Sus scrofa: one gene and its partner. The protein of the gene in region 2 binds, or shares a complex with, the protein of the main gene of each other region. Links are inferred from orthologs where the notes say so. Each region holds a gene or a part of one and is shown on either strand. Other genes may lie near its edges. The genes, in order: TAF12 and TAF3.

What was found.
Region 1: TAF3 (region 2) and TAF12 share a complex: the UniProt entries of both Homo sapiens proteins name them as parts of the TFIID basal transcription factor complex. The link is inferred for Sus scrofa from reciprocal best matches to the Homo sapiens genes TAF3 and TAF12.

Annotation. Positions count from the first base shown.
Region 1 is NC_010448.4:85,617,720-85,625,268, forward strand, and holds the end of TAF12 (transcription initiation factor TFIID subunit 12), read right to left. Parts: intron 6,811-7,549; coding exon 6,733-6,810; intron 4,712-6,732; coding exon 4,597-4,711; intron 3,535-4,596; coding exon 3,446-3,534; intron 1,443-3,445; coding exon 1,407-1,442; 3' UTR 960-1,406; downstream 1-959. UniProt on the Homo sapiens protein: The TFIID basal transcription factor complex plays a major role in the initiation of RNA polymerase II (Pol II)-dependent transcription.
Region 2 is NC_010452.4:63,456,459-63,464,007, forward strand, and holds part of TAF3 (transcription initiation factor TFIID subunit 3), read right to left. Parts: intron 5,300-7,549; coding exon 3,477-5,299; intron 1-3,476. UniProt on the Homo sapiens protein: The TFIID basal transcription factor complex plays a major role in the initiation of RNA polymerase II (Pol II)-dependent transcription.

The DNA of each region.
Region 1 (7,549 bases), on a different chromosome or scaffold from region 2:
TTCTTGCCTGCGGAGACCAGTGACTTGCTCCTACTGCTGGAACTTGGCGGGAGGCCTTTTTCACCTTTGTAATCACAAATAGAACATGCTTTGACAGCGTCCCCCAGCGGCAGCAGGAGGTTCTGGAGAAAGAAAACCCTCAACATCCTCTTCCTGGTGGCAGGCCACAACAGTGACCTGGTGGCTGAGCGACAGGTGCTGCTGGAGGAAGGGGAAAAGCTGGCTGCCTCTTTGGGCACTCACTACCTTGAGGTATCAGCCAACAGCAATGATGACATCAAGAGATCTACGAGGCTGTGAAGAGAGGGGTCATGGGGTCAAACTCAAAGCGGGAGAGAACAAAAAGCAGGGGCCCACCCCGGACCAAGCCTGAGGAGGCAGAGGCCCAAAGCAGGGCAAGGTGGATGTGCCCATGCTGGTGGCCCCTGGGTGGAAGAGCCACGCTCCCATGGAATCCTCACAATCCACCAGAGCTATGCTGGGCACAAAACAGGATGATGCCAGGTGCCACTGAAGGTCAGGACCTTGAGGTCTCAAGGGGCCTGGTTTCCTCCGCACGATGCTGAAAATACCAGGATCAGGGAGAGCAACAACTAAGAACAGATAGGCGCATGCACAGAAAGGCCTTTCCTCAAGGCCGCTGCCATCCTTTCTTAGGGTCAAGGATAAAATCCAGAAGTTCCAGAAGAGCAGGTCAAGAATGGATTTCCCAAAACCAGGATGCCTCTTCAGTTTGGGGCTCATGAGAGAAGGTCACCCTGCTCAATTCTTATGGCAGAGAAGCTGGACTCAAAGTTCTCCTGGTGGTAAGGCCTTCCTTGGAGAAAAATAATGGAAAAATCCCTGGGTTTTGCCTCCATCACAGAAATGAATAATGGTGCTGCCATCTGCTGACTAAAGAGCCACATCCAGCCTTGCTTATCCTATGGCATTTTAAAGGCTAGAAGCCATACACCCTGTGTCTTTTGACTAATAACTTCTTTATTCTGGAAAAGGAAATGAAAATCATATTCATATAAACACTGACATTACAAAGTACAGGGAAAAGGGGAAGGGAGAAGGAAAAAAAAATCTCTAAAATCTTGTTAATACTGCCTCACCAAACAAGACCATAATGCTTTGTCCCCTAGTCAATCACTTATATAATAAACCAAATAAAATCTTCTCTGGAAGATACACTGCTCTTCTTTGAGACGGGAGGAAAATGGGACTGGAAGTTGGGGTAGGAGGCTTTATTCTTTTGGCAGATCTTCTCAGTCATTATAGATATTGCTGCACTGTTAATAAAAAATATATGCTTCTCTGTAAAGCATTAAAAAAAAAAAAAATCCAAGGATGAGATGGCTGAGGTCTCAGCTCAAGTATCTCCAAATACATTGTTGTCCATTCCCTGACCTTTCCATGTGTTATTTCTTGGTTGTTTTCCGGATCAATGCCATTCTCTGAAAGGAGAGAAATAAGCAATTCCACAAGTTAGAGTCAGGAATTTTCTAGACCATCTATGTGTGGCTGCACCACAGGCTGAAACCCTCAGGAATTTATAGACACAGGGCAGCTCAGCAGACTCTTGGCTCAAGCACAGTCTATGGGGTCCTAAGAAATGTTTCACTAGGCCACTGGACCCATTTTATTGACCAAAAGACCCAAACTCCTCTATGCTAGCAGTATGGCAAAAATTAAAAAGTAGGAGTTCCCGTCGTGGCGCAGTGGTTAATGAATCCGACTAGGAACCATGAGGTTGCGGGTTCGGTCCCTGCCCTTGCTCAGTGGGTTAACGATCCGGCGTTGCCGTGAGCTGTGGTGTAGGTTGCAGGCGCGGCTCGGATCCTGCGTTGCTGTGGCTCTGGCGTAGGCCAGCGGCTACAGCTCTGATTCAACCCCTAGCCTGGGAACCTCCATATGCCGCGGGAGCGGCCCAAGAAATAGCAACAATAACAACAACAACAACAACAACAAAAAAAGACAAAAAAAAAAAAATTAAAAAGTAGAAGGTGACAGCTCTTGCCTTTTGAGGATTTAAGGGACAGGCCATCAAAACATGTTTTCTATGCTTATCCTCCCTTCCCCACTGTTTCTCTGATGATAATAAAACAGTGATGAGGCCTGTGTTTCAAGCCTGTTGCTACACATAAAAGGAACTGAGGAGTTCCCATTGTGCCTCAGCAGGTTAAGAACCCAACTAGTCCATGAGGATACAGGTTTAATCCCTGGCCTTGCTCAGTGGGTTAAGGATCCAACACTGCCGTGAGCTATGGTGTAGGTCACAGACACGGCTCGGATCTGGTGTTGCTGGGGCTGTGGCATAGGCTGGCAGCTGCAGCTCCTATTTGCCCCCTAGCCTGGGAATTTCCATATGCTGCAGTTGCAGCCCTATTAAAAAGAAAGAAAGAAAAAGAAGCTGACATTTCACACTCGATGATATACAATGAAGGAAAATGACCTCAAGGAGTTAAGGATCCGACGTACTGCCGTGGCTTGGGCTGCTGCTGTGGCGAGGGGTTAGATCCCTGGCCTGGGAACTTCTACATGCGGCAGGCATGTCCTGCCCAGTGACCCCAACGTCTTCCACTATAATCCATCAGGGAAACATTTAGATCATGGGTTTCAAATTTTACTATTATCAGCCAAACTAATGACTTGCCTTTGCCTAGTCCTTTTGACTAAGCGATTGTTTCAACATTATAAAATTTATTGACTGATAAATAAATAAGGCTGAACATTTGGGACCAGAGACAATGCCTTCTGAAGAACACTGCAATCCTTTGATGCAGGCTGTTGGTGGCCTCCTTGTAGGGCTTCTCTATGAGCTCTATAAACACCCCTGCTCCAGAGACCCCAGGCTATGGAAAAGCAAGGTATATTTAGCCAGGACTGCCCACTTGTGCCTGTCAAGCTTGGAAAAAGCCTACTTTCCAATCAGAGTATCTGGTTAAATTAAGACTTGTCAAATGGAGGCCAACATTGCTATCAGACTGACCAATGACAGAGACAGCTTGACCCCTCAGTTCTGCAGTAAGATGGACAGAGGACAAAAGTTAAGCTGGGAAAGAGGCCCGAATGCCTGGGTGTCACCTCCTAGCACAAGTGCAACACACTTCTGCTTTCCTTAAAATTCCCTCAATATGATGTTCAAATCAGCAACAATGAAGGAAGATTTCATAAAAGAGAGGTGGTGGTGGTGAGTTCCACCCATATTAGAAAAACCTAGAATCAACTGCTTTAAGTGACACCCATCAGAATTGAGGAAAAGACCTGAGACTCCATGTGGGAACAGCAAAGCACCCAGGAAATATCAGGCTGATCTCCCATGGAGCCTTGCTGCTTCTTGGCCTCTCTGGCCTTTGGGGAAAGTGACACCTGCAGTGATGGTAGCTGTGTGCATTCCCTCTGAGACACAGCTCAAGGGCTCTGATGTGGCTGCCCTGAGACCCTGAAGACTTCTCACCTGTTTATGAGCTTCTGTGGTGCAAGCTTTTTTGTAGGGTCGGATTTCTTCAGAGCCGAACCCTGGGATCCACATGTTCCACTGGCGTTCTGCAAGGAAGAGGCCCACACAGAGTTAAGAGGACCAGGAAGGCAGCATGAGGGGCAGTGTGACCCTCAGACAAGGGTCAAGAAGGACTAATCTGGGTGATCAACTGAACTAATTAACAGGAACTCTGCCGAGGGTTCTATGCAACACAAATGGGGGAATTGCATATGACGCCTCCAAGGTTTTAAAGAACACCATTTGAACTTCTTGCAAAGAAAAAAGAGGTAAATGAGTCAAAACTTTGAGTGTAGGGGTCCTATGGTTTCCATGCAGCTCTACAGGAAAGGAACATTATCTGTTTCTTCAATGGTCTTGCCCCCTATGCTCAAGGTAACCCCTCTCAAATCCAAAGGAGCAGGAACAGAAAGGCACTCCAAACAAGGTGGAGTTAAGAGTCAAGTCCCAGCTCTACTGCTTCACTGTGGAGCAGTATGATGTTGGGTCTCAGTTTCTTCATCTTTTATATGGTAGTAACAACAGAAATAACCATGTGATCGGGTGGGTGGTTGAGAGCCTTCAATGGCATAATCCCAGAGCCTGGGATAAATACATAGAGATACAGATATAGACACAGGCATGTCCACATCATAGCTCCATGTCCTTGTGCCATTGGACATGACTATCCCTATAAGACTGTCACTAGGAAGTTACCATCCCTGTAAGACTGTCACTACAAGTTACCAGTCTTTCTTCCTTCCTTCCTTTTATTTTTATTAAAAAAAAAAATTTTTTTTTTTTGGTCTTTTTAGGGCCACACTTGCAGCATATGGAGGTTCCCAGGCTGGGGATCAAATTGGAGCTGTAGCCACCGGCCTTCACCAGAGCCACAGCAACTCAGGATCCCAGTTGCGTCTGCAGCCTACACCATAGCTCACGGCAATGCTGGATCCTTAACCACTGAGCGAGGCCAGGGATTGAACCCACGTCCTTGTGGATCCTAGTCAGGTTCGTTAACCACTGAGCCATGAAGGGAACTCCCCAAAGTCCAAAAGTTTGATCAGGTTCCTGCAGGCTCCTAAAGGAACTAAAGTGTGGATCCCTCAGGGGGAAATGAGACCACCTACCTAGATGCAGCTGGACATCCTTTACTTCCAGTGTGCTGGACTTGCGATGCCGAGCAAGCTGGCAGGCTGCTGTCACCACGCTCTCGATAAAATCATCAGCGATCTGCAGCAGCATCTGGGGGAAAAAGGTGGGGGAGAGTAACCAAGACATTGGCAGGGTAGGCTCCTGTTGCTGGGACAACTGAACCGCATATTTAGTCAGGTTTTCTAGCAGAGGGTCTGGAAATCAACATTTGAGCGAAGGTGGGGAAAAGGACTGAGGACAACAAAAGAAAGACATCAACTCATTAACCAGGTGGAGAGAAACTCACACCTCTCTGAGGATGTACTTTCTGTATTTCTACCCAGCAGGGAACAACCAGCCCACCCCTACCCACCCCCCTATATCTTCTTCTGAATTACGTAGGAAAATACAAGTGAATCACTAATTCCTCATTCCTTTATTTAATTAATTTATTTACTTATGGCCACGCCCACAGAATGTGGAATTTTCCAGGCCAGGGGTTGAACCTGCACCACAGTAGCAACCGCAACCTGAGCTGCTGCAGCAATGCTGGATCCTTAGCCCACAGCATCACAAGAGAATTTCATCTTTCATATTCTAAAGGTTTTTTGTTTTGTTTTGTTTTGTTTTGTTTTGGTCTTTTTAGGTGCCACATCCATGGTATATGGAAACTTCTAGGCTGGGGATCAAATCATAGCTGTAGCTGCTGGCCTACACCACAGCTACAGCAATGCCAGATCCAAGCTGTGTCTGCAACCTACACCACAGCTCAGAGCAACACCGGATCCTTGACCCACTGAGCGAAACCAGGGATCGAACCTGCATCCTCATGGGTACTAGTCGGGATCCCTAACCACTGAGCCACGACAGGAACTTCTCCACACATGTGGCACATGTAACAGTGGTTTAACAAATTCTCCGAGTACCCGTTGTAGCTCAGTGGCAACAAATCTGACTAGCATCCACAAGAGCACAGGTTCGATCCCTGGCCTTGCTCAGTTGGTTAAGGATCTGGCTTTGCCATGAGCTGTGGTGTAAGTTGCAGACTCGGCTTGGATTCTGAGTTGCTGTGGCTGTGGTGTAGGCTGGCAGCTGTAGCTCCGACTGGACCCCTAGCCTGGGAATCTCCATACACTGAGGGTGTGGCTCTAAAAAGACCCCCAAAAAAAAAATTCTCATCTACCATAATAGGAAGTCTATGACTATTATAAAATTAATTAACCAAAAATATGTTTAAATATACTACTTAGAAATATGGAGGAATGTTCTAGAAACAATTAAAATTGTTAAAAGTGAGTTGAAAATTGTTAAGACTTCCTACCAACACAGGAGGAAGCTGAATCTCACCCACAGAACCAAAACTCAAATTCAGATTTGTTTGCCTCTGAAGTCTGTGCTTTTATTTATTTTTTTTTCTTATGACCACACCCATAGCATATGGAAGTTCCCAGGCCAGGGACTGGATCTGAGCCACATAGCACCAAACTGGGGACTGAACCCACACTTGTGCTGCAACCCAAGCCATCAGAGTCGGATTCTCAACCCACTGTGCCATAGTAGCAACTCCTAAAGTCTGTGTTCTTTTTTTTTCTTTTTTAGGGCTGCACCAGGAGGTTCCCAGGCTAGGGGTCCAGTTGGTGCTACAGCCGCCAGCCTACACCACAGCAACACAGCAATACCAGATCCTTAACCCACTGAGCGAGGCCAGGGATCAAACCCCCAACCTCATGGTTCCTGGTCAGATTCGTTTCTGTTGTGCCATGAAAGGAACTCTCTAAAGTCTGTGTTCTTTTTTCTTTTTTTTGTCTTTTTTGTTTGTCTTTTCTAGGGCCACACCCATGGCACATGGAGGTACCCAGGCTAGGGGTCTAATCGGAGCTACAGCTGCTGGCCTACGCCAGAGCCATAGCAACTCGGGATCCGAGTAGCGTCTGCGACCTACACCACAGCCCATGGCAATGCCGGATCCTTAACCCACTAAGCAGGCCAGGGATCAAACCCGCAACCTCATGGTTCCTAGTCGGATTCGTTAACCACTGCGCCACGAGGGGAACTCCAAGTCTGTGTTCTTAACAGCTATTCAATACTACTTCTCAGTGACACAGTCTCTAGGGTACCCAACCCCACTTTACCTCCTCCACATCTTCATCCAATTGCTCATTAGGATCCACTTCTCTTACTAAGTCTTGTAATTTCTTCTTGGTCAATACCTAGAGTTAATTGGAAGAACAATTTTCAGCCAAGTATCAAACAAACAAACTCATTACCCTATAATGAAGACTGACAACTTGCTGGGTTTAGTTTCTACTTTCCAAAGAATTATCAATCTGGCGTACCTGATGGTATTACTAAAAGAAAAAAAAAAGGAAAAGAAAGACTATGTTCTCAAGATAGAAGTAGCCTAAGGAAAGGCAGAAAGAACAATATGGAAGAGAGGCCAACATCTGTCAGGTAGTTTATTAAATGCTACATTAATGTGTAATTTTCTGACCACACAAATCATACAGTGCCTCTGCTGACATCGGACATGCTCTTCCACCCTTCCTCCTATGTGCTCAGGTGACAAACTGTCTAATGCTTTTCCTAGCCTACCCAGGCAAAAGCAACCACTTCCTCCTTTGGCCTCTACTGTACTCTGTGTACCCTTCTACCATTGTGTACATTTATAAACTTGTCAGTTTCTTTTTCTTGTCTTTCGTCTTTCCAGGGCTGCGCCACGGCACATGGAGGTTCCCAGGCGAGGAGTCTAATTGGAGCTGTAGCTGCCGACCTATGCCAGAGCCACAGCAACACCAGGTCCTTAACCCACTGAGTGAGGCCAGGGATCAAACCCGAAACCTCATGGTTACTAGTCAGATTCGTTTCTGCTTCGTCACAACGTGAACTCCCCTCTTTCCTTTTTTTTTTTTACCTGGCCGAGCCTGCAGCATGTGGAAGTTCCAGGGCCAG
Region 2 (7,549 bases):
CTCACAGCTCAAGCTACTATGGTTAACTCTGTGACTGCTCTCAATATGTTTTCCATACAAGGTTATTTATTTATTTATTTTTGGCCTTGCCTATGGCATGCAGAAGTTCTGGGGTCAGGAAGTGAATCCACGCCACAGCAGTGACAACAGTGGATGCTCAACCTGTTAGGCCACCACAGAGCTCTCCATTTGGTTCTACATTAAACAGGTGAGATACCAGACTCCTGACCCCGACTAAAGCACACGGCTGCCCATGAAAGGCAACTAAAAGACTTGTAAACCACCATACCTGCTTAAAGACATCGGTTCTAGCAGCCGATGGCCTGGGCTGAAGCTGTGGCTCCTGTTCAATCACTTTCTGGGTGTGTGACCTTGGGCAAGTTTATCAGTCTCATCTCTAAGACTCAGTTTCTTATCTTAAAGGGACAGTAATTATATTATCTACCTGAGGGAGTTGTGATAAGAACTAAACTTATACACGGTGTTTCAGTAATGACACAAACCAGTTTTACTGAGGTTATTTAATATATATAAACGTAATAGTTAATACTACTGAGTATTTCAAAAAACTCAGTTTTTCAAAAAGTGCTATTTATGGTGCTTCAAAGATGAAATACCTAAGGATTAAAGAAACTAAAACACCTCACTCAGGCCTGCCTGATTCCAAAGCCCAAGCCTTGTCCTAACTGCTATGCAGATTCTCATCTAATTAATGATATCTTTATTTGTTCTTGTACTGATAAATACAGGTATGACTAAAGAAAACTTTACAGGTAGGTAAAATAAACATGGGTGGGTTTTTTTTTTTTTTTTTTAATTAAAAAACAGTGTCCTTGGAATTTCCCGAGGGCCTAGGGGTTACGGATCCTGCATCGCCGCAGCAGTTCGGGTCACTGCTGTGGCTCAGACTCGATCCCTGGCACGAGAACTTCCACACGCCGTAGGTACAGCCAAACAAACAAACAAAACCAATGGCCTTGCTCGCTGACCGGGGTCACTGTCCACGGAGCTGCTCTGCGAGCTGGTCGGGAGCAGGAGTAAGCAAACGGTGGCCCTCGTTCTTTTGACTACATTTTTTGGGGGGCAGCTTAGATATGTCTCGTCTTGATTAACTCTTGTCTTACTTCTGTGGATACCTGAGAAAAGTCATAGATCACATGCAACCCAGTTTCAAGTACCTTCTCCTTCACTCACACGGCTTGGTACTTTGCAGAGGATGAAGGGGAGTTGAAAAAAGAGAAGCCTGAACCTCTCAATGTCTACTCCTTGTCAAAGGCGTTCCATGGGTTACACAAACCCTCGCCACAAAAAGGGCCAACGTTTAAAAGAGTGCCAAGGAAGCAGACGCTCTGGAAACACTGTAGCCATCGCTGACACCCTCTTGTGCACAGGTCGGTCCCTCGGGTCCAGTGGAGCCGTGAACTCGACGCAGGTTCCTATACGTTTTTCGGGTTGACGCCGAAGGGAACCACCACGCCCGCCACGGCCAGCCCCACCTTCCCCGCTTACTGAGCATTTCTTTCTGCGCCAGAAACAGGAGCAGGCCAGTCTCAGATGCCAGCTCCTTTAATCCTCACATAAGCAATGTGCCCAAGTTCACAGGGCTGAAAAAGTCAGGACCGGAACCCGGATTTGCCTCTAGACACAATACTGTTTATTATTGTTTAAGCCCCGATGGCTGCCTTTTACATGTTTTTATCTTTTGTCACCAGGCTGATCCATCAACACTGACACAAGGACTTGTATTCCTCTGTCAGGTGAAGCCTGCAGCTCGTAACGGAGCCTTTACCTCCGACCCAAGTGGTCTGAGTGAGGGGCTCGTCTTTCCCAAAGTCCGCAGGTGCTGGGTAGGCACGCCGTGGACCGCGCTCCATCTAACCTGACGGGCTCTCCTCAAATCCGTAACAGCCACTCTGGGCAACTCCACTGACTTTCCAAAGGTGAGGTGGTGGTGAAAGCAATGCACCCTGATTTGCCAAGGGCTCATGAGCCAAGTTCCCAGGCACCTGATGGGTAAGTGCTGACTGCTGCCAGGCAGGATCAGGAGCAGTAAACACTGCACAAGGGGACGTCAGTCAGTGTGGACCTGACCTGGCTCCTGCTGGTTGTGTGACCTTGACCTTGGACAAGTCACGCAGGCTGTTGCTCGTCTATACATGTTGATGACAATACCTGCTGCTAGGTCAAGGGTGTGTCAGGAGGAGAAACTAAGTTATGTGGTAGCACCTTAAAATCTTCCAGGTACCACGTAGAAATAACTGAATGATAAAACGACTTCCAAGTGGGGAAAAAGAGCTGAATTTCTGTGTCTCCTTAACTGCCAATATTCAGTTATCAATGTCGGAATTTCCATCCCACTTCTTTATATTTTAGAATAATAGCCAAGAGGGACACAGAAAGAAGAGTTAGGCAGAAAAACGGGTGAGTGGTCATCTCTGCTTGTCAGCCAAACTAAGTTTTCCAGTTAAGCCTGAAATTAAAAACACTGCAAAAGTGTTGGTAATAGAACTGCTGTAGGTCAAACAGAGCATGCTTTATTATGTGGAAAAAATTACTGGGTATTACTCTGTAGCCAGCCTCAAAGAGGAGTGTTTCCAGAACACAGAGCAAGAATCTAAGGATCATCACAGATGCACCACAGACAACTATGCTTTTTAAGAAAGTTTAAAGGAAACTTTCAAATCAACCAGGCAACCACTGTAGTCCCCAAACCGTGCACAGACAGCAAAGCTATAAAAGCAGAGGTCCCGTCCTGTGCCCAAAGGATGAGGGTCTGGGTTCCCGTGAGACCGCGGGGTGTGCCTCGGTTCCTTTGGCCGTATTCTCCAGAAGCCTGGCTGCTTACACGGGGAAATAGGACTTTCTACCCGCCAACCAGCTGCCAGGCCAGCTGGATGCTCAGAGACACGTCCTGGTCTGACTGAAGCGGGAAAGAGGAGACAAGATCCTCCTACAGGGAGACAGGCCAGACCTTGCGCTCTGGCCAGGACGGCTCACCAAGACGAAAAGCCAGTGGGCGAGGAAGGACCCCAGAGGCCTTCCTGTCCCCTTGGGACAGTGCCGCAGGTTTGCGACTCTCAGAAAAGTGGACGCTGCCTTTTCGGGTGTCTAATGTTTGGGTAGAGAGGAGTCTGCACTGGGCTTGATAATGACACAAATATTACTTGCCTTGAGGGTCACGGATTTTTATACCGGCCAGAGATCAGTACGGTTAAGAGAGAGCTGATGGTCTGTGATTGGCGTCCTCCCAGGCTATGAATTTTTAACGTTTGCCAGGGTCTAGGGGGCTTGAGGACAGGTTTACGGGGTTTGAGAATTAAAGTTAAGCTTTGTAAACACACGGCAAGACATGTTTCCAGTGAGGTTGTGAGTGCTTTCCCCGGCAAACGGCAGGCCAGCGGCCGGCTCTGAGTACCCGTGTTCCCCCCAGGGCTCGGTCGGGACGGGGCCCCAGGGCCCCAAGGGGAGCTGCTTACTTTTTCGTGCTTGTGCTTCTCCTTCTCCTTCTCCCGCTTCTCCCGCTCTCTCTTCTCCTTCTCCCGCTCCCGCTCCTTCTTCTCCTTCTCCTTCTCCCGCTCCTTCTTCTTCTTCTTCTCCTTTTTGTCCTTTTTCCTGTCTTTCTCCTTGGGCTTCTCCTTCTCCTCGAGCAGCTTCTCGGGGAGCAGGGGCGACAGGGCCGGGAGCGTGGCGGGGACGCGCAGGGCCGCGGTGGGGCTGAACAGGGGCAGCGCCGCGTCCTTCGGGGGCAGCGCCAGGGCGCCGGAGGGCACCTTCAGCTTCTCATCCCGCCCTCTGTCCCTCGCTTTCTCTCTGTCCCGCTTCTCTTTGTCCTTCTTGCCCTTTTCTCTGTCTTTCTTCTTATCCTTATGCTTCTCCTTTTCCTTTCTCGCGAGTCCATCTTTCAATCTCCCTTTGGGGTCCACGTCCTCAAACTCCTTGATCTTAAACTTGTAGGGGTCGGCCTCCTCGTCTTTCAGGAAGTCCTTCCAAGGATGCTTGGTCTCCTTGCTGGCTTCCCTTTCCTTCTCCTTGTCCTTCCCCTTCTCTTTGCTCTTGTCCTTGCTTTTGTCCCTGTCCCTCTCCTTGTCTCGCTGCTTTTCCTTCTTTTTCATCTTCGTCTTCAGTTCCTTTTTCAACTTCTTTTTGACGTCTGCGGAGGACGGCGGCTTGGGCTTCTCCTCGTACACCTTGTGGAGAGGCTCGGGGGTGGGAGGAGAGATGGAAGGAGAGGAGATGGGAGGGAAGCCGGGGGGCACGCTGGGGGGCGTCCCCAGCTTGGCCTTCCTGACCACCTCGTCGATGGAGGCGTCCATGGTCCATGAGTTGTCAGAGCTCGAGGTTCCGCCCGAAAGAGGCCGAGGCGTGGACCCTGACTTGGGGAAGTTGTTTGAGGAGGCGGAAGCTTGCGGAGTAGTACATTCTGAACCTGAAATTCTCTTCGGGCTGGTGAAAAGGTCTCCTTCTGATTCTGATCCAGAGGAGAATTCGAAAGGATCTGGCTCCCGCTCGGCACAAGCTCGCGCAATCACGGCATCGATGGAGTCGTCAATGGTCTTATCGGTCACGACGGCCTTTTTCGGCTGAGTCTCGTTGTTCAGTTTCCCAGCATCGGGGGGAGCTTGTATTTGTTTTACCTGAATGGTCTCTCTACTCGTTTTTTCACTTACTGTGGCTGAAGGAGTCCTGTTTGGTGTTTCAGGTCTGATGGGGATTTGGGGGAGAGGAGTCATAACCTTGGGACTCTTGGGGCTTTTGGGGCTCTTAGAACGTCCAGGAGACTTCTTTTCTTTGGATAGAGTTTTTGGTGACCGAATAGGACTTCCGACCATTGCTGGTGACTGAGTCGTTTTAGGCGATTTAGCCTTCTGTCCTGGAGAAGTAGTTTTAGTCTTTGTTTTGGGGGTAAACGACTTTGCTTCCAGTGGCTTTGCGGTTGGCATCTGTGATTTTGCCACCGGAGCTAACATGGGCGGCTCTGGTGACGGAGGCGCGAGGTCCGCGCTGTCCTGGACGTGGACGGGAGAGAGCATTGGCGGGATCTTCTGGGTGTTGATCGAGCTGAGCGGTTCTCGGGCTTCCTGCAACACCACGTCCAGGGTGTCTCCTTTGCTGCTTATCAGGCGAGGCCGCTTCATGGCAGGCAGTTCTTCAGCTTCCGGACTGTCCAGCGGTCTCTTACCCAAGAAGTTCTCATCGTTAATAATTTCCTCCTCCTCCAGCTCGTCATCTTCTTCCAAGGGAACCTGCATGGCCTCTGCCGATGTGCCCCCATCGGTGGGCACCTGCTCTTCTTCTTCTTCTGGTAAAGGAAGAAAAAGAAGTTATTAGAATATACATATTTTTTAAAACCTTGAGAAATAAAAACAATGCTTTGAACATGACTTCAGGGAAAGAAAAGAAATTACGGACAGTGTCTAGAGAGTGAAGCGGTACGTTTCCTAGGATCTTGCAGACTCACACCCCTTTGCTGTCCAAAGAGTGGAGACTCAGGACAGCAGACACCAAACTCTACTCCTTTCCAGAGGCGTGGCCCTCCTTGCGGGATCTGGAGCTTGCTAAGTATTTCCCGGGTGCCCTCTGCTTCCTTTATTAATTCTTCTCCTAACCTGACGAAGCCCTGTCTTTCTCTTTTCCTCTTCCTCTTGTGTACACGAATTCAGGCACACACAGGTGCACACGCGCACATACCACACACACACAAACCCCTACAAATCCAGAGATGGGTTATTATATGGCTACTATCCTCAGAAATGACAGAAAGGTGTACTTTTTTTTTTTAGAACTTTCAAAACAATTTTTTTTTTTTTGTCTTTTTCTTTTCTAGGACCGCTCCCGTGGCATATGGAGGTTCCCAGACTAGGGGTCCAATCGGAGCTGCAGCCACCGCTGCAGAGCCACATCAACGCAGGATCCAAGCCGCGTCTGCAACCTACACCACAGCTCACGGCAATGCCAGATCCTCAACCCACTGAGCAAGGCCAGGGACCGAACCCGCAACCTCACGGTTCCTAGTCGGATTCGTTAACCACTGAGCCACGACAGGAACTCCTCAAAACAAAATTTTAATTCTCGGAGTTTGGAAAATGTAAACCTCTGACCTAGCACCATTCATCTGCTACTTACGTCTTCTTTCCGCTTGCTTGAGGTCAGCTACCTTGAGAGGTGGCGTGGTGAAGTCAGAGACACTGGCTTGGCGTTAGAAAGAGGCATTTCAGCAGGCGTTCGGGCACCACAGGGCAATCTCTTAGCCTCTTTGTGGCTGCTTCCTGACCTTTCAAAAGGGGCTAATGTTACCTGCCTTGCTTACTTGACTGAGTTGCTATAGGAGCAGATCCTTTCTGTCTACACGTATTACCTTGAGCATATATACCAGGCATAGCGCACAATGCTAACGGCTGAAGGAGCTACTGGGCTAAGTCAGAAATAAATCATGAGCTAAAAGAGCTTACAGTTTAGCAAGAGACACCACACAGAACGTGGCATGGACCGTAAGGTAGATAAAGTGCTCGAGTAGTTCAAGGGAGAAACGGATTACCTTCATGTCCAAGATCTGGAAAAAAATGTGACTACTTACGCAGCGTTTTAGATATCTGGAGACTGGGAATGGTAAAGCACAGGAAGAAAGAGATGACACAGGGAGGTATGCGCGTGGGGAGCTGTTTAAGACCACGGGATAAGGTGTCTGGAAAGCAGCGTGCAAAACGGGAAACTGGAGAAAGTAAGTTTAGCAAGCTGACATGCAGATCCTAGAAGTTCTCAATTCCAGAGCAATGCCGGTGATCCTTATGCAACTGGTAGTTTCAACCTCGTCAAGATATTTCGACAAGGGAGAGAAATGCCTGGAGTATGTGTTAGCAGGATTATTCGGGCAGGAATATATATGATGGATGGGAGAAACTGGATACTAATGGAGAGGGGACAGGTTAGGGGTTGAGGAGTGATATAGGTAAGCAACCATAGGGTTGGAAGTAGAGTAGCGGTAACAAAAAAAAGGTCGATGATATTTTGAAGATAGAATGAATAGAATCTGATAAATGATTAGGTATAAGAGTAGAGGAAGGATTTAAACCCAGTTTTAAGGCTTTGGACCCTGGTGAATGAGAAATGTAGTCATAAAAATAAACAAGAAGTAAAGAAATAGGGAAGGAAGATTTTAATTAGCTCAATCGCTGCAAATACACTAAATGTTCAGAAAACAGGACAGGAAGTGGGGGGCGGGGGTCTTTGTGGAGATAAATGAAATCAAATAACGGATACCATCAGCAAGGGTGCCAACTGGGGCAGTCAGGTTTAGCCATCCTGACTGTCTACACAGAAAGAGAAGAGGAAGAGGAGGAACTAGAGAAACACGTGGGGGGTTAGAAGATCAAGGGGGTGAGGGAGGACTAGGAACAGAGACAAAGGCTTACGAGGCAGCAGGAAGTCAGGCTCACAGCAGAAGTCACTGCACCAGAGCACACAGGGGCGAAGAGGGCAGGAACCACACAACGCACGTGAAAGCACTTTGTCAACTACAAAAAACAAGGCAAGCTGGAGACACAGTGATGCC